Coturnix japonica: one gene and its partners. The protein of the gene in region 1 interacts with the protein of each later gene in a pairwise test. Links are inferred from orthologs where the notes say so. Each region holds a gene or a part of one and is shown in the gene's direction. Other genes may lie near its edges. The genes, in order: GABARAPL1, ATG4A, TAX1BP1, RETREG3, SCYL3 and OPRK1.

What was found.
Region 2: the proteins of GABARAPL1 (region 1) and ATG4A interact in binary tests that used the Homo sapiens proteins (3 or more experiments, as listed by UniProt). The two-hybrid records come from large-scale screens. The link is inferred for Coturnix japonica from reciprocal best matches to the Homo sapiens genes GABARAPL1 and ATG4A.
Region 3: the proteins of GABARAPL1 (region 1) and TAX1BP1 interact in binary tests that used the Homo sapiens proteins (3 or more experiments, as listed by UniProt). The link is inferred for Coturnix japonica from reciprocal best matches to the Homo sapiens genes GABARAPL1 and TAX1BP1.
Region 4: the proteins of GABARAPL1 (region 1) and RETREG3 interact in binary tests that used the Homo sapiens proteins (3 or more experiments, as listed by UniProt). The link is inferred for Coturnix japonica from reciprocal best matches to the Homo sapiens genes GABARAPL1 and RETREG3.
Region 5: the proteins of GABARAPL1 (region 1) and SCYL3 interact in binary tests that used the Homo sapiens proteins (3 or more experiments, as listed by UniProt). The two-hybrid records come from large-scale screens. The link is inferred for Coturnix japonica from reciprocal best matches to the Homo sapiens genes GABARAPL1 and SCYL3.
Region 6: the proteins of GABARAPL1 (region 1) and OPRK1 interact in binary tests that used the Homo sapiens proteins (3 or more experiments, as listed by UniProt). The link is inferred for Coturnix japonica from reciprocal best matches to the Homo sapiens genes GABARAPL1 and OPRK1.

Annotation. Positions count from the first base shown.
Region 1 is NC_029516.1:70,390,293-70,394,453, reverse strand, and holds the start of GABARAPL1 (gamma-aminobutyric acid receptor-associated protein-like 1), read left to right. Parts: upstream 1-1,361; 5' UTR 1,362-1,500; coding exon 1,501-1,590; intron 1,591-4,161. UniProt on the Homo sapiens protein: Ubiquitin-like modifier that increases cell-surface expression of kappa-type opioid receptor through facilitating anterograde intracellular trafficking of the receptor. Involved in formation of autophagosomal vacuoles.
Region 2 is NC_029519.1:13,238,702-13,242,906, reverse strand, and holds the start of ATG4A (cysteine protease ATG4A), read left to right. Parts: upstream 1-1,405; 5' UTR 1,406-1,528; coding exon 1,529-1,538; intron 1,539-2,162; coding exon 2,163-2,273; intron 2,274-3,180; coding exon 3,181-3,252; intron 3,253-3,687; coding exon 3,688-3,786; intron 3,787-4,205. UniProt on the Homo sapiens protein: Cysteine protease that plays a key role in autophagy by mediating both proteolytic activation and delipidation of ATG8 family proteins.
Region 3 is NC_029517.1:30,157,699-30,161,727, forward strand, and holds the start of TAX1BP1 (tax1-binding protein 1), read left to right. Parts: upstream 1-1,229; 5' UTR 1,230-1,344; intron 1,345-2,574; 5' UTR 2,575-2,581; coding exon 2,582-2,758; intron 2,759-4,029.
Region 4 is NC_029542.1:4,589,001-4,592,996, reverse strand, and holds the start of RETREG3 (reticulophagy regulator 3), read left to right. Parts: upstream 1-1,196; 5' UTR 1,197-1,291; coding exon 1,292-1,464; intron 1,465-2,141; coding exon 2,142-2,248; intron 2,249-2,739; coding exon 2,740-2,770; intron 2,771-3,547; coding exon 3,548-3,674; intron 3,675-3,860; coding exon 3,861-3,945; intron 3,946-3,996. Other genes in the region: TUBG1 (tubulin gamma-1 chain), read right to left, coding at 109-276, 679-791, 933-981. UniProt on the Homo sapiens protein: Endoplasmic reticulum (ER)-anchored autophagy regulator which exists in an inactive state under basal conditions but is activated following cellular stress.
Region 5 is NC_029523.1:6,556,586-6,560,085, reverse strand, and holds part of SCYL3 (protein-associating with the carboxyl-terminal domain of ezrin), read left to right. Parts: intron 1-1,356; coding exon 1,357-1,500; intron 1,501-1,572; coding exon 1,573-2,324; intron 2,325-2,869; coding exon 2,870-2,932; 3' UTR 2,933-3,500. UniProt on the Homo sapiens protein: May play a role in regulating cell adhesion/migration complexes in migrating cells.
Region 6 is NC_029517.1:99,618,599-99,622,768, reverse strand, and holds the start of OPRK1 (kappa-type opioid receptor), read left to right. Parts: upstream 1-1,370; 5' UTR 1,371-1,731; intron 1,732-2,218; 5' UTR 2,219-2,285; coding exon 2,286-2,545; intron 2,546-4,170. UniProt on the Homo sapiens protein: G-protein coupled opioid receptor that functions as a receptor for endogenous alpha-neoendorphins and dynorphins, but has low affinity for beta-endorphins.

The DNA of each region.
Region 1 (4,161 bases):
CATATCTGCTTCTAAGTGAATATACTTCCTCCATATCTCTCCTTCATGCATGATGAGAGATCACAGTCACCACGGCTTGGAGAGAGCATTACCTCTGAATTCAAGAAGCAGTGGGCTATAGAGTGTAAAGGTGGGTGGTGGGCAATATATGATAAACAGCTCTCTCCAGGGCAGAGAGCACAAACTAGCACCCTAAATCTGCTGTGGGGATTTGCAGTAGGTCCTTCCCAGTGTTGGGATAACTCCTTCCCTTCAGGCAAGACTTATGTGTATAAGCATATAGGGATAAAGAAACCATTAATGTCTGAAGTACGAATTTCTTGGAGCAGTCTAAAAGATGTGTATGAGTATTTCTAGAAAAGGACCAGGGCTTCTTCCTGATCCTGTTCTCCTGATATTATTTTTATTACTTACTATTTTGTCACGATGCCCTTACAGAGCATTGCAATGGAGCATCCATCTTTCGTCTTCCACCATAAGTGCTTCCAAGATTACATGATTCCCCATCCATTATATTTCCACAGATAGTACATACTCATCAATTATACTTGAGACAACTAACTTACACACACTTAACACAGGTAGAGATGGATGAGATTTCCAGTCTTCTATTCCATGGTCTCTTCTACTGTCTAGTGTCCTTTTAGCATCATGGCAGTCCAATTGACAGTCTTTTACTTCATCCAGTGGTCTTCCTCACTTGTCCTCTAGATGAACTTTCTTCACTGATGCATGCTCGATAACGCATATTGTAAGTAATTTATAGGTACTAAAATTGTAACATTTGCTCACTCAGCACTTGGCCATTATTTCTGGACATCTGCTCATCCTTGGATAGAGATAAGTTTGGCAACCTGTCTTTTAGTGATATATACCGGGGTGTTAACTTCTTTTTAATAATATATACTGGGTTGTAGAAGGATAGAGGGGAAATCCTTGACACCTAGAGAAGGAGACAATTTGGCCTCATGTGGAGGTCTCAGCTTTCATTATTGCGTTTCTTTTGCTGAGGGTCTCTTGTCAAAACAGAACAGCTTTACAACACGTTTTCCAGTCCGTAATACTACACGCACACTATATCAATCACAACCACGTACAGAAGAGACTCATTGGACGGGGACACCTCTGACGGTGGTGCGTGGGTAACCCCTGAGTCACGCACATTATTTTGGTGGCTGTGTTTTTGTGGATTTTTTGATCTTTCTTTTAGAATTGTTACCATTAGGTAACCCGAAAAGCACAGTAACCGAATGTAAACACAAAGACCCAGCACATCCCCCCCCCACACACACACACACGAGACAGTGCCCCCACCCCGCTGCAATGCCGACAGTGCCGGAAGGGGAGGGTATGTCGCTGTGACGTCCCGCAACAGCACAGTGCGGGGCTGCGCTGCGCTGCGCTGGGTTTGCGTGCGCTGCGCGGGCGTAGTAGGGTTTGCTGAGTGCCCGGTCATAGGTGACGGAGGGACGGTAGTGGCCGGCTCGGTTGTGTCGCATCATGAAGTTCCAGTACAAGGAAGACCACCCGTTCGAGTACAGGAAAAAAGAAGGGGAGAAAATCAGGAAGAAATACCCCGACAGAGTCCCTGTGAGTGTGCTGGACGAGCGCTGCCCTCGGGCTGGCTGTGCAAATGTCGCCATTCTTTGCTGTCCTTGTCGTTGCCGTCTGCTGCTTTGCTTCTTTTGCAAGGAACGGGATTGGGAAAGATGACTTTGGCGTGTCGGTATTAATTCCGGATTGCTTTCTCTTTAGTGCCACCGTATTTGTTGTTCTACGCCAAGGTCCGTGGGTGGGTGTGGGGGTCTTTTTCGGGCATCCGCAGTAATTCGACAGCAAGAACGCTGTTAATCTTATTATGGCAGCCTATGCGTGTGGGGCTGGAGGGTGGGGAAGGAGCTTACGACTTGCTCTGGGAAAATGGAGGAGAACAATGAATGTGTGAAACAGGCGTTCTCTGTAAGGAAAAAAAAAAAGGCCTAAATCGCTGTTATCAGATGTTTTGTTTTTATTTTATACCTTTTTCTTTTTGGAGCTTGCTTTTCAGTGTAGTCCAGCTCCGTTCTTTTCAGCTTTGTGTTTTGCATGAGAGTTAAAAAGAGATGGATGCTCAATAATAATTCCCAGTCTTACTTCCCTACTCTTTAATCACCCAAAAAGCATCATTTGGAAAACAAGATCATTTTCGAGCTGAACTTTCCTTTCTTGTCCTTAGGACTGTCTGGAATCTCAGTGGAAAACTCCTGGCTTTATAATTTGTGGCAATAATTGCAAAAAGAAATAGTAACACTAGGGTTTATTTTGTTTGTTTTGTAACACTGGAGAGTTCTGTCCTAGATTGGGGTGACCAGAGGTGCAGTGTGCAAAAGAACTGTTTCACCTGAGCTTTTCCCTGTAGGATGAGAGTAATTGAGCATGCAGTGTATGCAGGTCTGTCTTTTGAGATGACGGCCACAGCAGGCTCAGCTGGTCAGGAGAGTGGCAGGTAATGCAGCAGGTCATGATAGAAGTGACTGGAAGAACTATGTGGAGAGCCCAGCAACAGACCTGGTCTGGCAAGGAGTAAAAATGCCAAGACAGAGGGGCTTTAGTAGAGTGTAATGGACAAAAACAGGATCAAACTAAGTGAGCTGTGCTGCAGCTAAGGGGAAGTGAAAACACTGCTTGGAGAGGCCTGGTGTGGATTGCTGGGGAAGGCTTGTTGTCAGAGCTGCACAGAGTGCAACAGACGTATTTAATCACTTCTGTCACTGCCCTTCACGACAGTAGGATCCTTGACAGCAATGTCCCATTGGCTGCTGGCACTTCACTGTTGTGATATGTCTGCATTTTGCTGAAATTATAATGCTGGCCCAGTCCATTGTTACCACAGTCACCCAGCAGCAACAGACATCAAGATAATATATCTGCCCTTTGGATTGTCTTTGTAAGTTTGTCTCTCTGTGCAAAGTAACCTTTAGAAGAGATACCTTGCCTGGGTTATCAGGGAAACTTACTACAGTTGATTATCTAGGAAAACACCTCCATTTTTCCCTCTTTGCAAGAGGGAGATCTGTCTCAAACTTGATTATTTAATTTGAATCCTTTCTAGGGGTTTAGAATCCTCAGAGCTCACCTTGTCCTCATAAATCAAGGTACCCCCTATCTTCTTTTCCTTTATCTAATGACTAAGCTACATGCCATCCTTTTGAGTCAGCTTGGTCCTGTCACTGTTGCTACCTGACAGTTCTGCTTACCAATCTTCTAAATTGAAAGCAAAAACTAAAGGCTTTTTTTCTACTTCAGTTTATTTGATGCTACCATGTAGCGTTTCAGGGTAAGAAAATAGGCAAAGTACTGTTGCTGGTCAGTCTGAAGCTGTGTAGTGAGGTTGTGCAACTACCTTTCCTTCACAACACTTGTCAATTTTATCTTGTATGGAAATGTATGTCCTAACACAAACTTAGTGTGAAAGAGCTCAGTTGCCTAGTAGTTGAGGTTCTTGAACTAGCAAACTACGTTTGTGTTTTAGGAAGAAACCTAGAATTTTCAGGGCTTTTGGCTGCATTGGAGGCATCTAAATGGAGAAGAGTATACAGGTATCCAAGCCAGCATCTCTACTGTGTGACATGCTTTGTGGATACTTGAATCTGGAACGAGGAGTGTTTGGTTGGAAAAAGTGCCATGCCAAGTTAATACACAAAGCTTATCATGTCTTTTTCCTTTGGTGTACTGTTTCATTGATGTGACAACACCATTTTCCTTCCAAAGAAGGAAGGAAACACGAAGCACAACAGTCCAGCCTTTACTATTGCACAGCTGACACAGCTGCTGATTTTGGCTTCCCAGGGAGGTGGTTGAATCGCCATCCCTGGATGTGTTTAAGAGCCGTTTGGATGTGGTACTCAGGGATATGATTTAGCAGAGGGTTGTTAGAGTTAGGGTACTATGGTTAGGCTGCGGTTGGATGTGATGATCTTCAGGGTCTTTTCCAACCTGAGCAATTCTATGATTCTTAGAAATTAGTCTCACAGTGTCTCAGGGAAGGTCAAAATGGTTTCTGAAGAACAGTAAGCCACATAGATTGAATCATGTAATATATCTCTCTACTTGATCAAAAATACATACCAGGAAAAAAAACAAACCTACCAGTGGCTGCATTTTCTTTCCACATGCACACAG
Region 2 (4,205 bases), on another chromosome or scaffold:
GCTTATTTTTGGAGGCCGCGTAGTGCAGGGGCGTGCAGCCATTCTGATTGACAGCATTGATGGGAGCCCCCTTGTCAATGAGGGCCTTGACGATCTCATCACGGCCCGCTGACGCAGCGATGTGCAAGGGAGTCCAACCAGCCTGTGGAGGCGAGCACAGAAGTTATTAAAGCAAAGACGTCAACCGAGAAAACAACCCCAGTGCAGAGCAGACTGCTCACAGAATCACAGAATGACCCGGGTTGGAAAGGACCTCAAGGATCATGTAGTTTCAACCCCCCTGCCTGGCAGGGCCACCAAACATACACCTTTACTAGATCAGGTTGCCCAGGGGCCCGTCCAACCTGGTCTTGAACACCTCCAAGGACGGGGCATCCACAACCTCCCTGGGCAGCCTGTTCCAGGACCTAAACACTCTCCTAGTGAAGAACTTTCCCTAACATCCAACCTAAATCTTCCCTCTTTTAACTTAAAACCATTTCCCTTAGTCCTGCTATTGTCAGCCCTTTCCAAGAGTTTACTCCCCTCCTGGGAGTAAGTTCCCTTCAGGTATTGAAAGGCTGCAATGAGGTCACCCCACTCCCTAATCATATTGCAGACAGCATTACAGCTGTAGTGCTTAACACTACTATCAGCACAGACAAGTCACAAGCGCAAACTTTAGGATAATTCATTCATAACGGATGCAATTATTTCAGCTTTCCCTGCAGGACAGAAGGGATCTGATGGCGAGTGTGAGATCAGCGCACACGGGGCCTACTCTGCCATTATACCTCAGGGGCGGGAAACCCTCAGCGCTCCTCACGGCTTGGCACAGGGTCACACAGGGCAGAGACGACCCGAAGACCCACAGCGGCAGCCCGGCCAGGCACCGAGTCCCGGGCAGTCGCTCTCCTCAGCCCCTACAGAACCATCCTTTCAACCTCGGGCCCGTTACTGAGGGAGAGCGGCCCCGAGAGCTCCCGCCGCCCCACTCACGTCGTCCTTGTCTCCGACGGGCACGCCGAGCCCCAGCAGTAGATCCGCCACCGCCGTGTGTCCCGCCGAACAGGCCCAGTGCAGCGCGGTGCGGCGATCCTGAGGGGAGACAGCGCCGGTCAGCGGGCCCCGGGCCGTTTGGTTGCCCTGACGGGCCCCGCTCCCGCCGCGGCGGGTTCGGCCTCCTGACCTGGTCTGTGGCGGTGGCCAGGGCCCGGTCGCGCAGCAGCTGAGCGCGCAGCTCGTCCAGGCGCCCGGCGTAGGCCATGTTGCACACCTCCACGTTGGACACGGAACCCTCCATCTCGGCCGCCAACACGGCCACTGCCCGCCCCGCGCCCCGGGACGCCGCCTCCAGCCGACCAATCGCGCCCGTGGGCCGACTGTGGGCCGACTGTGGGCCGCGGGGGGTGCCGGGATTTGTAGTCCGCCCGACTGGACTCGCCGCGCCGCCGCCCGGAGACGGAACTACGTCTCCCGGAGCGCCCCGCGCCGCCTCCCTGCCGGGCGTCCGCGTCGGGCCGAGGAGGAGGATGGTGACGGCGGGAGGATGGAGTCAGGTGAGCGGCGGGATGGGGCTGAGGGCAGCGGCGGGACGGGCGCCGGCAGCGCGGGACGGGCCCGGCCCGATCGGCCACGTAAAAACCCGCCGGACTCGGAGCCGGGGCCGCGCCTCAGCGATCGGGGCGGGACCGCGGGGCCGCAGCTCGGGGCCTAAGGGCCGGGACGGGGCACGGGCACCGGGAAGCGCCGGGCCGTGAGGGATCGGCGGATCCGGAGCTGCCGTTCGGCTCCGTGCGGGACGAGTGTGACGGGGCGGGATGTGACGGCTGCGCCGTGCCCATCTGACTCGGTGCCGGCGGTGTCACCCGTTCCTATATGAAGAGCAGCGCAGGGTGGGCTTTGCTTTGGCTTCATACATTGGCATTTGGTCAGGTTGCCATCTGTGAGATCACAACCGACGGGCATTGCCACTATTCCCACAAACCTCGCTTTAATTATCAAAGAAAGCAAAAACCGAAACAAAACAACCCCCTGCAGCGCTCGGGCTTCCTTCTCGGCTCGGTATTAATTACCGTTAGCAAATGACGTAGGCGGATCGTCCCCTCCCTCCGCCGGGCCGTGCCGCGGCAGCCATGTCGAGATACCGAGGGAGTGAGTGGGCGCTGCCGTGTTGCGTTCAGTTCTGTCCAGGTATGAAAACCAGATCACGATCCTGGCCGAATACTTAGAGGAATTCCCCGACACCGATGAGCCGGTGTGGATCCTGGGAAGGCAGCACCACCTGAACGAAGGTATCTGTAACGCGATAACTCGGCTCTAACACGCACTGAGTGCGGCAGCAGCGGCTCCCGATTCCCTCGTGTATCTGGCTGTCAAATAAAGGGAGATTTCAAAGTCACTGTCACAGTAAGAAGCAATAATCTGAGGTGTGTGCTGTGTTCTGGTGAGAAGCAGCATTGCCCGATAGCCTCAGCACTTCTGTGTGATACAAACATATCAGCACTGAGTTCTGCTCCCTGTGGAGGGCACAAGGGCATAACCCTGTGTTACCTGGCAGAGGTAGCGGCCATCAGTGCAGCCGTGGTGTCAGGACTCCCCAGGGTCCCGTACTCGGCCCCAATGGGCTGAGCCATCCCTTAAGGCCACTTAAACCCCCCTTAAGGCCACTGGATCTGAGTGGAACTCAGGGAGAAAGCAGCAGGTAAGAGCTTAATAAATCTGTGAGAGCCTGTGGGAGATGTCTGTAAGTGCGTGTTTTTAAAAGAAAAAAAGAGAAGAGAAAGAATTAATGGCAGTCGGTATTAATATTGTCAAGAAATGACAGCGTGTGGGGTTTGGGAGCGATGCATCCTTCTATGCTGTTCAGCACGTAGGAGTTCTGCACCTTAACTTGCTTTACCAGTTCTTTGCTGTGGATGTAATTCTCTCCATAGTGTTTCATTCAGGCTGGACAGAATCATTCCAAACGCCTCTTAGAACCATTGCCTAGTAATTATTTCATTCCTAACAATTCAGCTTTAATTATAAGTCTACAAAAGCTCTTAGGTTTCAATGGCTAAAAAAGGCATCTAAGCACTAAAGATCTGATATGTAGAAGCTAACAGGAGTCTTTTGCGGATGCTGTGTGTGGGTTGCATAGGAAAAACTGGAATTTTCCAGTTCGAAAAGTTTATTTGTTTCCTTTTGAAATCATTCCAGACAAATCTAAGCTATTGTTGGATGTCAGTGCTCGCCTCTGGTTTACCTACAGAAGGAAGTTCTCGCCTATTGGTGAGTATATTGCGGATCTGTGGCCTCGTTAAATAGCAGGAGCGGGGATGGCCTCATGGACTGAAAAGTGATTTTTATGTTATTAGAACGTTTAGAGCATTGTTAAAGTGGCTCACACATTCAACATATTAAAGTTATTAAAATCGATGTGCGCTTACAGCTGCACGTAATCAGGTGCTCGTGCTTGTACAGCAAGCTGTGTGTAGTTGTGAGTGTTGTCGAAGGGTAAGTCAGCTCCACAAGGAGTGCACAGACCTTGTTTGTGCTGCATAGAGATTAGACCAACAGCGTGGAAATAAGTCTGGCTCAGTGCAGTGCATCCATAGGCTGGTTAGTTTCCAGCAGACCTAACTGGGCTCTTACACTCTGGCGTTATCTCTGTGGTGCTGCCTCCAGTTCAAAGCTCATATTAATTGTGGTGAACTTTCCTCATAGGAGGCACTGGCCCCTCGTCTGATGCTGGCTGGGGATGTATGCTGCGATGTGGGCAGATGATGCTGGCGCAAGCGCTGATCTGCAGGCATTTAGGAAGAGGTGTGTACTGGTCTGAGTGAAATCTAAACTATTTGGAGACCACATTCCTTTGTGTGTGTGTGTGTAGTACTCTGGAAAAGCACAAAACCCTAATTTATTAATGAGACTTTATTTGAGGTAAAAGTTCCTAATGATTTATGCTTGTCTGACTGGGTGGAATCATAGCAGCCTTAAGCAGAGCAATAGAACAGACAGGGAATCCTGCTTCTCTCCAGAGCTGAGGATACCGCCCCTATTATTAGAGGCAGAAGCAGACATGGCAGAGCTGCTGCAGATTTGCTGTGTGAGAAGACTTTCCAGTGTGGCCCTTGTGTTGCTATTTGATGTATGTTAACAAATCTCACAAGGTCTAAATAGAGCATGTGGCTTTAAATAACCTGTCAGTGCTCAGCAGCAATCAGTCACAATAAATCTGCAGT
Region 3 (4,029 bases), on another chromosome or scaffold:
AGAACATCTTAATTTCAGAACTCCCAGTACATTCCATAAAGTAACAACATAATGAGAGTCAGTGAAAACAAAACTACTCGTCTCATCACTGTTTATACTTCCCAGATACTGGCTGTGAAACTGAAGTTCTTTCAGAGTCAGAGCCCATAGCAGAACAGTGTCTTGTGACTCTTAGACAACCCTTTATCACATCATGTGGTGCAAAGAGCAGTGAGAAGAAGAAATGGAGGTTATAGATAAGACAGAATAGCTCTCCCCACCTCCTCAGAAATATGTATGGCTGGTTATTGCACCAATTTTGTTTACCACTGCACAAATTCCTTTGGTCTTAAGGAAAAAAAAGCCTTGTACACATACTTCTTGTGTCTTCTACCTGAAAGGAGGTTGTAGCAAGATGAGAATTGGCTTCTCCCAGGTTACTAGTGATGAGAGGTAGAGGCTTTAAGTTGTGCCAGGAGGTATTCAGGTCGGATGTTAAGAAAAATACTTTGTCAGAAAGAGTGAAGCAGGCTGCCCAGTGGTGTTGGTGGTGTTCAAGGGTAGCTGTTGTCCTGAGGGACATGGTGGGGATGGGCTGGTGGTTGAATTGATGATCTAAGTGCTTTTTCCCAACCTTAATGACTTCATGATTCTAAAACAATGTATTGCTTTCCAATGGAACATATGAATAACTTAAGGAATTACTAGTTATGTCCAGAAATAAAAAAGATTACTTAATAACCTGTTTTACAGGTTACACGTGAAGACGTGAAGTTGTTTTCAGACAACCATTCATGACTGAAGAGTTTCTGTGCTCCGGCTTAGTTTCATTAGGGGTGACTATTACAAAGCTGGCAATCTTGCCAGATACTCAAATCAATAATGTGGTCATTGTGCCTGTCTGTTGAGAATGGAAATAGTGATGAAACAGCGGCGGTAAAGAGGTAAAGGTGATTTCAAAGACTATTTGAGGTAGTGGTCGTGTTGGGTGTACTGGGAGAAGTCCGACACACCAATGGTGGTTACTCATCACTGAATTCTGTTCCTCATCTCTGCTGTTCTGTAAGAGCTACAGCTTGGCGCTGGACAGAGCTCCAGTAGAATCTGTGTATTTATGAGGTAACATACTTTGCCAATTCACGCAAGCAGGAGAACTGTGAGCTTTAATCTCACTCCTTGGTGGCTCAGAGACAGGCACAGGCCCGAAGCTTTAAATCCGCAGCTTGTGAGACGCAAACTGGTGTGACGCGAGCACAAACGAGCGGGCAGGGCCGGGGCTGGAAGTGACGCGGGCGGGCGGGGCTGCGTGGCGCTGATGGTGGAGGCCCCATGTTGATGTCCGCGGCGTCCTCCGCGCCTGCATAGGTAAGGGGCGCTGCGGGGTGCAGCTGAGGGGGGTGGGCGGGTTGGCAGCCCCTTCCCCGCCGGTCCTCGCCACCCGTTGGGGCGGGCAGGGATGTGAGGCGGCGGGCGGCGGCGCTGCGCCACCGGGAGGCCCCCCCCCGCCTGTACGGGGATCAGCTGGTCGGGGCGGCCTGTGTAGGCCTGGATCTGGGCTGCAAAGCAGAGCAGTCTGCAGAAGTCGCTTTTTTTTCTTTTAGCACATTCTTAGAATAAACTTCCTAATTTTTTGAGGAAATCTATTTTAAAAAAATTATATTCCAGTGTTTTTTTTTTTTTTTCTTACCAAGGTGATGAAAATTGACGTGGTTTGTTTCCTTTCAGTGTTGCTTAGCTTCATATAGTAAGGCTGTTCTGTTTCTTTTAGGTTAGCAGAAACTGCAGCTTTGTACTTGTTAATAATTCAGAGAGATGGACCCTTATGTTTTGCTTTTGAAGCATTTTGTGGTGCTGTAATTTTTAGCACGGTGTATTTGGAATGAGGTGGTGAAGGGAAATGGTGACGGGAAGCTTTTGCAATCCAACCGAATTAGTGCTAATCCATCCAACTGCATGCAGACTTGAATGTCTGCGCCATCAGTTCAGTTGTTATTAGTAAAAGTGCAAGACTAAGGGTATCTGTGTTTAAAGTGGGGACAGCAAATGTGCTTCCAGTCTGCTGACATCAGAAGAGAGGAGAAATAAAATAAGGAAAAAAAAAAGCCTGTTTAGATAAACTTTCTCCTTTGTTAAAATGTCTTAAAATGAAGCTTTCTTAGTTTTACTGAGTGGGGAACAACATTTTATTTATGGAAATACTGTCAAAAGCATTCAGAAGTACGGATTTCCCTGAAGCATCCAGAGTCACTAAAGACATTTAATTAAGTCATAGCTAACCCTAACCCTGCCTCATTTTCCCACCACTTTTATTTCCTTCTTTCTGGTACTCAGTTTATCTGTGTTATAGCAGTAGGGGCATTCAGTTAAGTGGTGCTTTCTCTCTGTTTTCATTTCATCACTGAGATGACTGCCTTTTTTTTTTGTTCTGAGAAGTGATTGTTTTGGAGCATTGCGTTTTGATGGGCTCGGTCTGTAGCTGGTCTGTTGTCAGACCAGAGGAGTGAATTGTTTCTCTGTCTGGTATCTTTTGAACAGGTTATTTTTAACTTAGTTCTTCATGATATTGAAGTAACAGCTTCTCCAATTTTGTTGCAGATCAAACATGTCATCCTTTCAAGAAGTCCCATCTTCAGCTAACGCTTTACAGACATCCAATTTTGCACACGTGATTTTTCAGAATGTGGCAAAAAGTTATCTGCCGAACACACACCTTGAATGTCACTACACTCTGACCCAGTTTATCCATCCTCATCAGAAAGACTGGGTTGGTATTTTCAAGGTAAGTAAAACTTAATCTATTCGTGTTTTTCACTTGTTCACTGTCTTCTCTTAACCAGTTTCTAATAGAGAAATCGAAAAATAATACTTTTATAAATGTTAGAGGAAGCATCACAGTGTGACGTCAGAGTCTGAGCTTTTAACGGAGATGAGGCTGGAGTGATAAGTACAAATGTGCTGGAGTAAAGGGAAGCCATGATGTGGTAGAGAATTAAATGGAGATGATTTGAGAGGAGGATTTTTAATAATATATTCAGTGACTACAGTCAGTGAATTGTGAGAGGGTGACATTAGCTACAAGCAGGGCGATTTCTCTGGTAGGAACTGGTTAAAAATACATCCATGTATTTTGATGACCTGATGTGTTTTGACAAACAGGAGTGTGACTGAGCGTGCTTGATGTTTAGTTAACAGGGCGAAGGAATGGAAGAAAAGTCAGAAGTTTAAAGAGAGTGCTGTTCAGGTTACACAAGCATTTTGGTATTATTTACGTGTATCCTGAGAAATGAATGTTGTGGTTCTGTGTGTATCAATCTAAGTAAGGGAGGCAATTAGGTTCCTAAAAATACAGATTAGATTTTTTTTGAGCACAGCAGAAAATACAAAATGTTTTTTTCAGTGACTGCATGTAACGCTATGTCCAATGTACAGATATGCTTCATTTCACTGTGTATGATGATAATTTCATAAGCTATTGAGGTATGAGGTTTTTATTCTACTTCGACAGTTGCAGGCAATACAGCTTTAGCAATTGTTTGGGAAACACTTTGAGCTGACGGAAGGTAACACGGCTGTAACATATCTTCCCTTTCTTTTACTTATTTCTTTTCTTCCTCCCCTTTATGTGAAATAGGCACTTGTGTGATGAACAAAGTCTGGGAATCGATTTCAGGTTCAGACCAGCATTTTGGGAGTAAATTATTTTTAGTGGGGAATTCCACAGCTGAATTTCTAGTCCATCTCATTCTCATCACTACGAAGGAAGGAAATGTTGCAAGATGGGGAAAAGGGTGAAAATTGTTTTCTGTTTGTTACTACGTGTTATGAATATACTGTCTTTATATAGTTATAGTGCAGTGAGGTAAATGAAGCCAGCTGTCCTACTACATCTGTGCTTATCAGTGTATATGTGTGTGAGTAATGCTTACAGTGAACAGTTTGTACCTTACTACATCTTCACAAAGACATTTTTTCCCGTGAACATTGTGGCATTGATAGTTCTAATGTGTACTACTGTTCTGTTCTAGGGATCAATGGCTTCGGCTGTATTCC
Region 4 (3,996 bases), on another chromosome or scaffold:
GCTGAATGACTCAGAATTCTGCCAAGTGCATCCTGAGCCTGAGAAAGGCCACAGTAAAGCCTCGGTAACTGCTCTGTGTTCATGTATAGGAGCACCAGGGCCTGTTACCTGTGAGAAGCCGCTTGCCCAGTTGTTCCCAGCTCCACCTCCATGCTCAGACAGATAGATGTTCTCTGGGTTGTAGAGGTTGGCATAAGGGGAGTTCAGGATGGAGTGGATGACTCGGGGCTCCAGGTCCAGCAGCACAGCTCGCGGGATGTAGTGCTCATCATCTGCCTGCAAGGAGCAGCAGTCGGGTCAGGCTGCAGCACAGCTCCTCGCAAGGGCCACGTCCTGCACTGTGCCATGTCCTGCACTGTGCCACCTCCCGGCCACCACGAGCACGATGCAGAGCGAGGGAGGAGCGACCCTGGAGCACCCGAGTGCGGGGCTGCGGCAGCGCGGCCGGCCCCGGTACGAGCGGTGTGAAAGAACCGGGAGCGGCGGTACCTGGTAGAAGAACATGTAACCGGTACCTGGTAGAAGAACACGTAACCGGTACCTGGTAGAAGAACACGTAACCGGTACCTGGTAGAAGAACACGTAACCGGTACCTGGTANCTGGTAGAAGAACACGTAACCGGTACCTGGTAGAAGAACACGTAACCGGTACCTGGTAGAAGAACACGTAACCGGTACCTGGTAGAAGAACACGTCCTTGCGGTCGGTGCCCTCGGTGGCGAACTCCTCCACGATGCCCTCGGGGCTGATGCCGTGCTCGGCACAGAGCTGCTTCCAGAACTCGAACCCAACTGCGGGGACGGCGGTCAATGAGCCCCCCCAAAATCCGCTCAATGAGCCCCCCCCATCCGGTCAATGACCGCCCCCCCCCTCCGGTCCCCGCCCCGTCCCGCCCATCATCCCGGCCCCGCCCGGCTGTGTGTGCCGCTCACTCTGGTTGCCGCACTGGCCGAGCTGTAAGGTGATGATCTCCCGCGGCATCCCGTCCCGTCCCGTTGTCCCGTCCCGTTGTCCCGTCCCGTCCCGTTCCGTTCCGTTCCGTTCCGTTCAGTCCCGCTCCGTGCGCTCCGCCGCCGTCTCCCGCTCGGCGCCAACCGCTCTGCGCATGCGCGCGCCGCACTTCCGCTCCCGCTTCCGCCGTCCCGTCGCGGCGCCCTGGAAACGCGCGTGCGCGGTCGCGGCCGGCGGGGACGACGCTTCGGCCAAGATGGCGGCGCCCGGAGCCGTCCCGCTTCCGGCGCTGGGGGCCGCCATGTCGGCGGAGACCGGATGTTGATGCCGGCGAGGAGCCATGGCGGCGGCGCGGCCCGGCGAGCGGCAGCGGCGGGTGCGGGAGCTGAGCGCGGCGCTGCGGGGCCGCCTGGGGCCGTACGAGCGGCTGCTGAGCGCCGTGCAGGCCGCGCTGCTGTGGGAGCGGCCGGGCCGCAGCGCGCTGTGCTGGGCGGCGGCTCACGGGCTGTTCTGGTGAGCGCCGGGACGTGGCTGCGGGGCCGCCGGTGGCTGCGGGGCTGCGGGGGCTGCGGGGCCTGCGCTGGTTGCGCTGGTCGCGCTGCGCCGCCTCGGTCCCGGCCGGCTCCTGGGCCTCCCGCCCGTCGGTTCGTGCCGGGCCGTCGCTGCGCTGCTCGGGGCGGTGCCGGCAGCTCCGGCCGTTACGGGCTGCGCGCGGGGCGCTCGGCCGCCTCTCGGGTCGGGGAGTGCGACCTCCCGGCGCGGAGCTTTGAGCGCCGGTCCCGCAGCTCCCGTGGCCGGGACGGCTCGTGGGTTGGGGTACGGGCCGGTAACATCCGGTTGTGCGGCAGCTCACGGCGGGAGCCTGGAAGCGCCGCAGCTGCCCGAGCTTCATCCCTCTGAGTGTATTGAGCACCTGGTCCTACAGCACAACATTGATCAGCGAAACCAGAACTGGGCGGTGGGACCAGGGCACAGGGTGACCTGCAGGCCGCGAATTCCAGCCCTGCTGCAAATGAGGAGTGTGCACAGCGCCGGGAGATAAGCTCCTCTCCAGGGCCGTGGGCAGCTGATAAGCAGCCGCTGCTTTTCTCTATCTGTAGCTGTTGGCACGTTTTGCAGCGGGTTCGTGATGTCCCCTTCGCATGTCACAGATCCTGCTGGTCACGTATTTGTTCGTTTCTTTGCCATAGGTTCTTTGCTCTGACTTCTCTTCGATTGGTGTGCCTGGTTGCATTTACTCTTATAGTAGTAGTTTGTCTAGATCAGTGGAAGAGCAAAATTTGGCCTGAAATTGGAGGTAAGTTGCAACGTTTAAGTTATTATCAGAAAATGAAGCATTATCTTCAGATCAGGAGGTGCAGAGTGTGCAGCATTTGGTGCTCAGCAGAATCCAAGACTAGAAGCACGCACAAGATCCTGACCCATACAAATAATAGGAGTTTCTCACACTTGTGGTGCTGGCGTTTGCCTCATAATGTTCTGAGTTCTCCCTTGTGTTTTATTTGGTAGAAACTTGCAGTCTCTTAATGCATAATGAGGAAGTCTCCTTGACTGTAGTGTTTGTTTGTAGAACGTCATAGGAGGCAACAAGGAGGCTCTCTTGCAATCTTGTACTGTAACATGTACATGTTTAAAACGTGTTATAGAGCGAGTCGTATGTTCTGTAACAGTTAATGTCTTTTTTCAGGTGTCTCCCAGCTAATTAAAACTTTACTTGAATCCCCAAAGCTGAGCTTTCTTATAGCAAATTCCTTGCAACTAACATAGTGTCTGTTCTTAATATTTTAGTGGCAAGACCTGACGAATTAGACAATGAGAGGTAGGAAACTAATTGAATTCTCTGCTATTTGGTACTTTGCCATGATACTGTGTAATAATTGTCTGCACGTGCTTGTAACGTTGGCTTCTTTAAGAGGGGAATGAAAGGAGAGAAGGAAACTGCTTAGTGGAGGGAGAATGGAGCCCTGAACTTTGTCATTCTGCTGTGACAGGTTTTTTACTTGCACAAACCATTACTCTTTGCCTTTACATTGGCATACAGTAATGCTTGCTTGAGCACTGTAAAATCTCTGCTGCTCTATTCCCTTCCACCCCTAAGTTAGAGGTGCTGTCTTAAAAACAGTTCCTTTTGTATGGGTCTCCAGTAGCAGGAAAACAACTTTTTGTACCAATAAATGCATCTTCTGAGCCCAGGTGTGGAATGTCTAAAGAGTCACGTCCCAGGGATTGTTAGTGCATAGTTATGGTCTGACTGCAGTATTAATAGTGGGTGTTCTCTTACTAATAACACCTTCCTATCTCTGGGCACACCCTTCTGCCTGCTTATGCTGCTGAGCCACACTGGATGCTCAACACCTGCTTAAATCACTTGAGCTGTTGCCACATGACTTCCTTGTTGGGTGGTTGTTGTTTGTATTTGTAAGAAGCCCAAATACAAAAGGAATTGCTATTCCTAAGTTTCATGTACTTGTGACTAGCAGTTAAGAAACACCAGTAGAACTTAATGAAGATAGTGCCTCTGAAGTAATCAGACACATTTAAGTAAGGCACAAGGCTTACTTAAAACCTTGTTTCTGAATTTTTACCTTTCCTGCAGCTGGGGATATGTCCACCCTCGGCTGCTTGGAGTGCCAGAACTGTGTCACCATTTGGCTGAAGGATGGGTGTCTTGGACCAACTTCTTAAGTAATCTCTTTGTTTTCAAGAGGGAAAGCCCTGGCAAGGTGAGAACTGGTAAACTTTAGTAAATTACTGACTGCTGGCATCCCTTTGTGATGGTTGAATGCTAGGAAGGCTTTGCTTTGTTAAGAGTTAGAACTTTACCTAGAAATCTTCAGAGAGCAAGATGATAAAGAAGTGAGTGATTCCATCACTTAACTTTGGAAACTCACTGTCTCCCATGTGTTCAGTTTTGCCTTCTAGTATGTGGAGTCTTTACATTCCTGGCTGTTCTGGGCCGGTATATCCCTGGACTCCTGCTCTCATACTTGCTCTGTAAGTAGAAGAACCCTGTGCCAAATCTTAAAATGAAGAGGGGTAGAGATA
Region 5 (3,500 bases), on another chromosome or scaffold:
GTACTTAGATCCAAGTAGCTGTTTAATATTTCCTCTGTCCTTCATGTTTTTAAAAGCAGTAAATTTCATCCTCTTCCCCCCAATTTCTGTTTGTAGATTGGAAAAGAAATACAGACTTCCCCATTTTCTCAGCTCTCTGGAGGCTTTTCACCTAATCCAAACGAATGAAGTAGTCCCTACACCTGCTAATAACTTGGAACCAAGTGTACCAAGGGCAAACTTTTCTGCATGTAGAACTAAGAATAACCTGTAGCTGGAGGGAAGAATCAGCATTTTGCTCTATTTTAGATTTAATAGGTACCAAGAGAAATGCATGATAGACATCAATTTGTTTTCATTGTAACTGTTCTTGTCCTGCCTGGGTGTACTGATAACTACCACTCATTAAAATCTGTGGATGGCTCATTGCAGCGTTTGTTTTTATGTGATTGTAGTAGACTGTAGTAAATAAAAACCTTCATCTTGCGTGCTAAGAACAGATGTATTTTTCAGAATATATTTGAAATCATTTAAATGTTGATGGGGGTTGGGACAGGAGCTGAGAACCAACCCTTTGTCCTTAACAGCGAGTGGAAATGTACAGTAAGGAGTAGTTGATGCTGAATAGATGATGCTTAATGAGATGTTTGTCTAAGGATGTACCCTCCATGGAGGGCTCTCCAGGGAGAGTCCTTGTTATAGTTGCAGTCCTTAACAGTGCTGTGAGCTGTGCAGGCAGTGCCTTGCCTGGCATCACACACAGTCAGGTGGAGGCAGCGGTGGCCCAAGCCCTTCTATTCCATGTTGAAGGGGTGGCAGCAGGGGCTTACACAGCTGAATCCAGTGCTAGTGTATCAGTGACACTATGCTCCCACCAATGAACTGGAACCAGCCTTTAACTGCCTACCACCACACCTCTCATTTTTGGGTGCACCATACAAGTGAGGCTGTCATAACGCAGCCTTTGAGATAGAGCCTCTTGTTCCTGCTTGACTCATGCCCAAGCACACAGGGCAGTTTGTGCAGTGGCATGATGCTTTGAATTGAGACTGTCACTGCTGCGCTTTTATACGAGGCAGAGCAGCAGATTGGTGCTGCCATGCATCTGGCTGCATCCAGTTGAAGCATCTATTTCAGATCATGCTGTTTACTTTGTGTATCTTGAAAGAACAGAGCAGCAAGAACTGACCCATTTACAGTTACTTTGCACTGGCAAGAGCTGCAGGAAGAGTAGTATTGATACGTACAAATCAAGAGGTGCAGTTTCTGCACTGCAGTGCCAGTCTTTGCTATTGCTCATCTCTGCAGTAAATAAATCTCCAATGCCATGGGCAGCTTCAGCCAACACACTTACTGGCCTCTCTTCCATCCCTGCAGACTCCCCCACTCGTGCTGTAAGCAACCAGAGACACCAGACCTCTCAGCCTTGGAAGAACAACTCCAGTGTGCTCCCTATCTCTGGAAATGCAGTTGTCAAGAAGCATTCTGTGCAACGAGACAATCCGCTGGCTCTAAGGACAGGTAAAGCATTGATACCTCTCTTCCTGGTCTTGCCTTTCTGAACTGGATATATAACACCCTTATCCTCCACAGGTGAGCAAGCCACCCAGCTGCCCCTGAATGGAGTTCCTAGGAGCATTAATGTGCTTGGGAGCAGCAGGAGCTCTTTAACTACCTCTGAAAAGCCAGCAGAGGAGTGGCCAGACTGGAGCGAGCCAGAGGAGACAGACACTGAGAAAACTGTGAACATCCAAATTCAGCCCCAGAAGCCACAGGGCAGCATGGGACCTTATTTTGTTGAACACGATGTAGATGAGAAGCCTTGGGATGACTTGGAGCCCAGCAGCCCTAATGCTGAGCTGACCTCAGGAAACTGCCTCACTGTGACACGAGCTGATGCAGCTCAAGTGCAGAGAACTCTACCAGGTACCCAGCAACAGAGCAAGGAATTGGAAAGCCTCAAAGTGATTCCCTCAACAAAGTCCTCCCCTGAGAACAGCTGGAACAACGACAAACGGGACCAAGGACAACTAGGAAAAACCGTGCTGCCCAAACAGACCTTAGAGGAAAGATTGAAGTCTTCATTGGAGTCTGGCCTAGGAGAAGAATTCACCATTAAAGTGAAGAGGAAACCAGCTCAAGACCCTGAGCTGGACTTGTTTGCTGACATGATACCAGACATTAAACCTTCTTCAGCGCTCCTGATTATACCTGAAGCAAGGACAGAAGCAGTTGTTCCCAGTCACTCAGTTGTTCCCAGTCACTCTGGTGCAGTGTCCAGCAGAGAAGGTGCCTCCCAGAACATGATGTTTTCATCCAAATTTGCAGCAGTTGATGTTATTGAGGTAAGTGTCTATAGACAGCGGGGTTTAAATAAATGCACATTTGAGAGGATTCTAAGGCACACACATTGTACAATACAGTGTTGTGGCACTGCTGTGATATCTACCTAATTTTATGGGATCCACTTACAGTAGTGCAGACAATGCTCTGGGAGTAGCTGAGAGTGAGATCAAAGTCAGAGTGCTACAATACAGAAGGACAACAGTTGCTTCCTAGGAGGCAAGGGAAAGAAGTCTATCTTATAGCATCCTGTTCTTCATAAAAAGGGGTTTTGATAGAAACAAAGCTTGATTTAAATTTATGAGGAAAGCAAAAGTGTATTTAAAGTGTTTCCTTTTACGGTTAGAAGTCCTCAAAGATGAAAAGCTGCAAATTCCAGTGCTTTGGTTTTGGTTTTGTAAGGGGCTTTCTGTATATAAAGCCTCAAAGGGGTAAGGAGGAGGGTGCCATCACAAGTTGGCCTGGGTACTGTTGTGCTCCTATAGCTGCATTAAGAACAGAAGCACAGCGTGTGTGCCTTAACGTTGTTCATTTTACATGATTCTAGGCTGAAGCTGCAGGCTGGGGTGAAGAAGAAGAGTTGAACTGGGAAGATGATGCTAACTGGTAACGGGACTGAAAGAGACAACGGCGATTTATGCTGTGTTGGAATCTGTAAGAGAAGTTGCTGCTCCTACAATATAACGGATAAGTACCTCAGCACTGCTTTTGTGAAGGCAGGCACTTGCTGCAGCAGCCAGCAACACCCCAGGGGGCCCCATCCCTTCCAATGGATGCTCCTTTCCAGTCTGTGCCAAAACATGCAGCGGGTGAGGCCTGCACTCCAGCAATAGGCCAGTTGTGGAGTGTGCCACTGCTACTGGAGAGAGAACAGCAGGATGGGGGCGTTGGTGCTGACACGCTGATGGAGGCTGAGCGGTGGTGCAAGCAAAACTCATCTCTGCTCTGAAAAACTGCTGACAATAAATAAGAATTACTCTGAGTTACCTGGTTATTGGGCTTGTTATTTTTGTTGCTTTTTGTTTTTTTAACCTGGAAAGAAAGCCCTTAGAAATGGATCCTTGTAACGTTTTAGCTGTACGATGATTTTCAAATGGATCTGTACAACATATTTATTTCTGTTTATAAAACTCTTTCCACGGATTGCATAACACGTGCTAGGAAATGCACGGTGACTG
Region 6 (4,170 bases), on another chromosome or scaffold:
AGTTTTCCACCTTTAAAATGTATTTGGCTCAGGGGATTTACTGTCACGTGTTTATTGCCTTGTACTTCTGATGTCTTCACAGAATCACATAATCACAGAATGACCTGGGTTGGAAGGGACCTCAAGGATCATGAAGGTCCAAGCCCCCTGCCTGGCAGGGCCACCAAACTTAGCCGTGCAAACTTTGCCATGTTTACTAGATCAGGTTGCCCAGGGCTTCGTCCAACCTGGCCTTGAACACCTCCAAGGACGGGGCATCCACAATATCCCTGTGCAGCCTGTTCCAGGACCTCACCACTCTCCTAGTAAAGAACTTCCCCCTAACATCCAACCTAAAACTTCCAGACAGCTCCATGCAGATGGCAGTGAGCAGATGCTGCCATTCTCAAGGAACCAGTGAGCACGGTCATGGTCATCACCATGCTTGCATGAGCCTTGACCTCTGAGAAAGGGGATTCTATATCTTTTAAAACACCTTTTTGACTTTCAGCTCTATGGCTGAAATTATTTTTCATCTTGATTATAGGTTTAGAAAGAAAAAATGTTTTTAAAAATAGAAACCTCAGCCTATGGGCTTTACCCAGTGTAAAGTTTCAAAAGGATGAAAGAAATTCACAACTCCTTTCCTGACCATCTGAGCTTCCTAGAACATCCAGAGGGGCATGACACACTGCAGCTGCCTGCAGAGACCTGCTGTCCTGTCTAAGGAACAGCCTGCCTGGCCCATTCCTGGGCTCCTTCCAAGGGAGAGTCCACTTACTCAAAGACCTGGCTCACTTTTCCAATTTGCCATTTAGAAGGAACTCTGGTTGGGATTTGGGATTTCAAGCACAGATTAGTGTGTTTCCAGCTCCATAGGATAGAGTGTTTAAGGGATTAGGGCTGAGGAATTTGATTTCTGCATACTCCTCCTCTCCATCCCTGACCACAGCAAGGGTCTGGGGTAATCAGACCCCAGCAGCACATCAGGATGTACTTGGCTTCTCATAGTGTGGGACAGCTTGAATTAACAAAATACAGCAATTAGGCTGCTCCTGGATGTTTCTGCCTCTCTGTGCTGTGGGATCCAGCTTCTGGCATTCCCCCACATTATAGGCATAAAGGAAGAATGGCACAGCCACCCAGTGAGAAGCATTTGGGATCCACAGTTGTGAAGCTGAGGCAGGAAGCCTGTCAGGTCAGGCAAGAAATATAAACTGGGAAATTCTGTTTTATTCAGCATCTATCAGCCTGTAAATGCACGTAGAATTCAGGAAGGTAAAGGGGTTTGTTGCTCAAGGCCTGGGAGTGTGAGGGCAATAGGAAAAGTTGGTTTGGAGAAGTGTACAAAGCCAAGGAGCCACTCACATCAGAACTTATTTCTTTTATTTTGTCTGCCTCTGAGCGCTGAGGCAGAAGTCATGTGAGCTGCTGAGCTGCAGGGACAGAGGCAGAGGAGAACGCATGCATCAGAGCAGCGTGCTGCTGGAGCCCTGATGGGGAGAGGGAAGCAGAGAGAGCCTGTGAGGGAAAAGGCAAAGTGGTAGGAGCTGGAACAGCAGCAGCTGCTGCTACTGTGCCGTAGCTCATGCCCAGGAGTCAGCTCTGCCGTTAGCATGCATCTCTGAGGGCTCAGATGCTTCGGGTTCAAAAGTCCTAGAAGATCTGTGGTACTCCCAGGAGCCAAGTGAATGCTTTTTTTTTCCTGCAAAGATCTGTCTGAGGACTCTGCTCCTTCTCCTGGACTGAGAGGTATTTTGTGTGATTAATTTGTCTCTTGTTTAGAAGCAGGCATGGGATCTGGAAAAAGATAAGGCAGGGTTTATGCCAAAGCAGGTATACAGAGAGGTGGTAGATTTCTCTCCTCCTTGTTTACAGAGGAATTTAGGGAGCAAGGAGCCCCTGTCACTAGGATGCTGTTTGACTTAAAAGATGGAGGATGGGAGAGAGAGGGTTAAAGCGTGGGGGTGGATCTGAGCTGCTTCCCATCTGATTTGTTTCTCTGTGTAATTTCTGAAAGTGGAGGAAAACTTTCCTTGTGCAGTGGTGGAGAAGCACATTACATACTGAGATGTAAAACTTACATTTACTTTGAATGTGGTTTATTTAAATCCCTGCTTGGTAAACTACAGTTCTTGCCACAGCAGTGTTCCCCATAACAGGTACTAATTTTACAGCTCTTAATATTCAGTCGCTGTGATAGCAATTCCGTCTCATTCCCTCTCTTTCCCTTTTCCAGCATCCTTCCTCCTGCAGCCTGCACTCTCCTTCCAGTCTCTCTTCTGTCTGTGGGGTCCGTGGCCTCTATGGATGCCCCTGTACAGATTTTCCGTGATGAGCTGGACTCCACCTGTGTGCCAGGGCCCTGTCAGCCATCCAGCACCAGCAGCAGCTGGACCCTGGGCTGGGTGGACTATGATAGCAATGCCACCGGGAACTTTGAGGACACCCAGCACAACCACACCAGCATCTCCCCCTCCATTCCCATCATCATCACCGCTGTCTACTCCGTGGTCTTCGTTGTTGGCTTGGTGGGAAACTCTCTGGTGATGTTTGTCATCATAAGGTAAGAGGCTTTGCTTGAAAGAGATGCAAATGGCTGTCCTGACATTTGACAGCTCAGGGGGAGTTTATGGAAGCTGTCTGGATCTGTATATATCAGGAGTTGAACAAAACAAAAAGAGTACCCAGAATGACCCCAGATATTTTCAGGCACAGAATCTGCCTGGATGTGCAGTTGCAGAGAGAAGAGAGAAGCCGGATAAAGGTGATGAATCCTGCAGCCTGTGAGAAAGGTGGTTGGTGCCCCTGAGCTGCGTTGATCGGGTGCCCTCTAGGGATGAAAGGCTGCTCTTGACTGAGAGAAAATGGGAGAAAGAAACTTCTGCAGGGTACCTTCTTTTTGTGATTTTGTTTTCTCTCTGCTTGTGAGAGCCATGGCTTATGTGTCCAGCTCTGTGAACACAGATATTTTGCTGCCTCGTTGCCTAGAAGTTCTCTTAATGAGGTAGGAAAAAAAGAAACAGTAAGAATCACATCTGTTTAATGTAAGCCAAGGGATGTTGTTTCTCTGCTTAGTGGTGTTTAACTCCAGTTGTTGGCATCGCCTTGAAGAAAACAAAGCAGAGACAGGGAGGGGTCTACTTTTCCTATTGTTTCAGGAAACAGGAGAAAACTGTATATCTATGTCAAATAGTTTTTCATGTTGAAATACATAGTGAAATGCACCGATATGGGTGTGTTGTTATATATTTGTGCCTGCACTATTCTCTCTCTCTCTTTTTCCTCTTTCAATTTGTAATTTGTAATAATTCCTGGACAGTGGCACTCAGCAGGGTTATAATGACCAAAGAAATTGAAATCATGAAACTTTTCAGTCTCTTCCTTCATATTCTATATGAATCTTGCAAAATATTCTGGATTTTGATTTGTTTTTTTTGTGTGTTGCTTTTTTTGGTGGGTGAATGGAATATTTGGTCAATAAATGAAATCACCTTGAACACAGGAAGAAAAATGGGGGGATTGCAAGTGATCTTGTTTACAAAGTAAGCATGATAAATGTCAAACAATTGCAGAATGATGAAATAACTCTGTCAGGCTTGGTATGGGAGGAGTTAACTGGAACCAGTGAAGTTATTGATGATGGGCTTTATAAAAGATGTCTTAAAACTGGGTGAATATGTTTGAAAAATGAAAGTGAAATCTCGTTTAAAAGTCAGTTCAATAAATAAAGATTCCCATGGTCACTGCAGGGTAACCGGTTTGCTCCATCTTTGTGATGCTGTAGTTTTTATATCTCATCGAGCTATTTTACCCTTCATTCAGAGTAAAGATTTAATTTATTTTTGCACTTAGCTTTCAAGAAGAGAGACTTCATACTTAACACAGATGTTAAGTATGCAGAATTTTTCTAAGCCATCGATCATTTAACAGTACAGTGCTGACTTGCCAGTCTGGACAACGGAAGAAAATTCAAACTTATCCAGAACCCTGAAAGTCAACATGGATGGATTATATTGATTCATATATATTTCCCTTTTTATCTTCTTCTATTACCCTCCCAAGATTATTTTTGTGAGGGTCTAGCTAGCTTTGACTCCCTCTCCACCAGATCCTACTTTAGTCTTAAATACATTGTAATTACATTACAAATTTAATTGTATTCAATATAGAACATTTAAAGATTCTGAA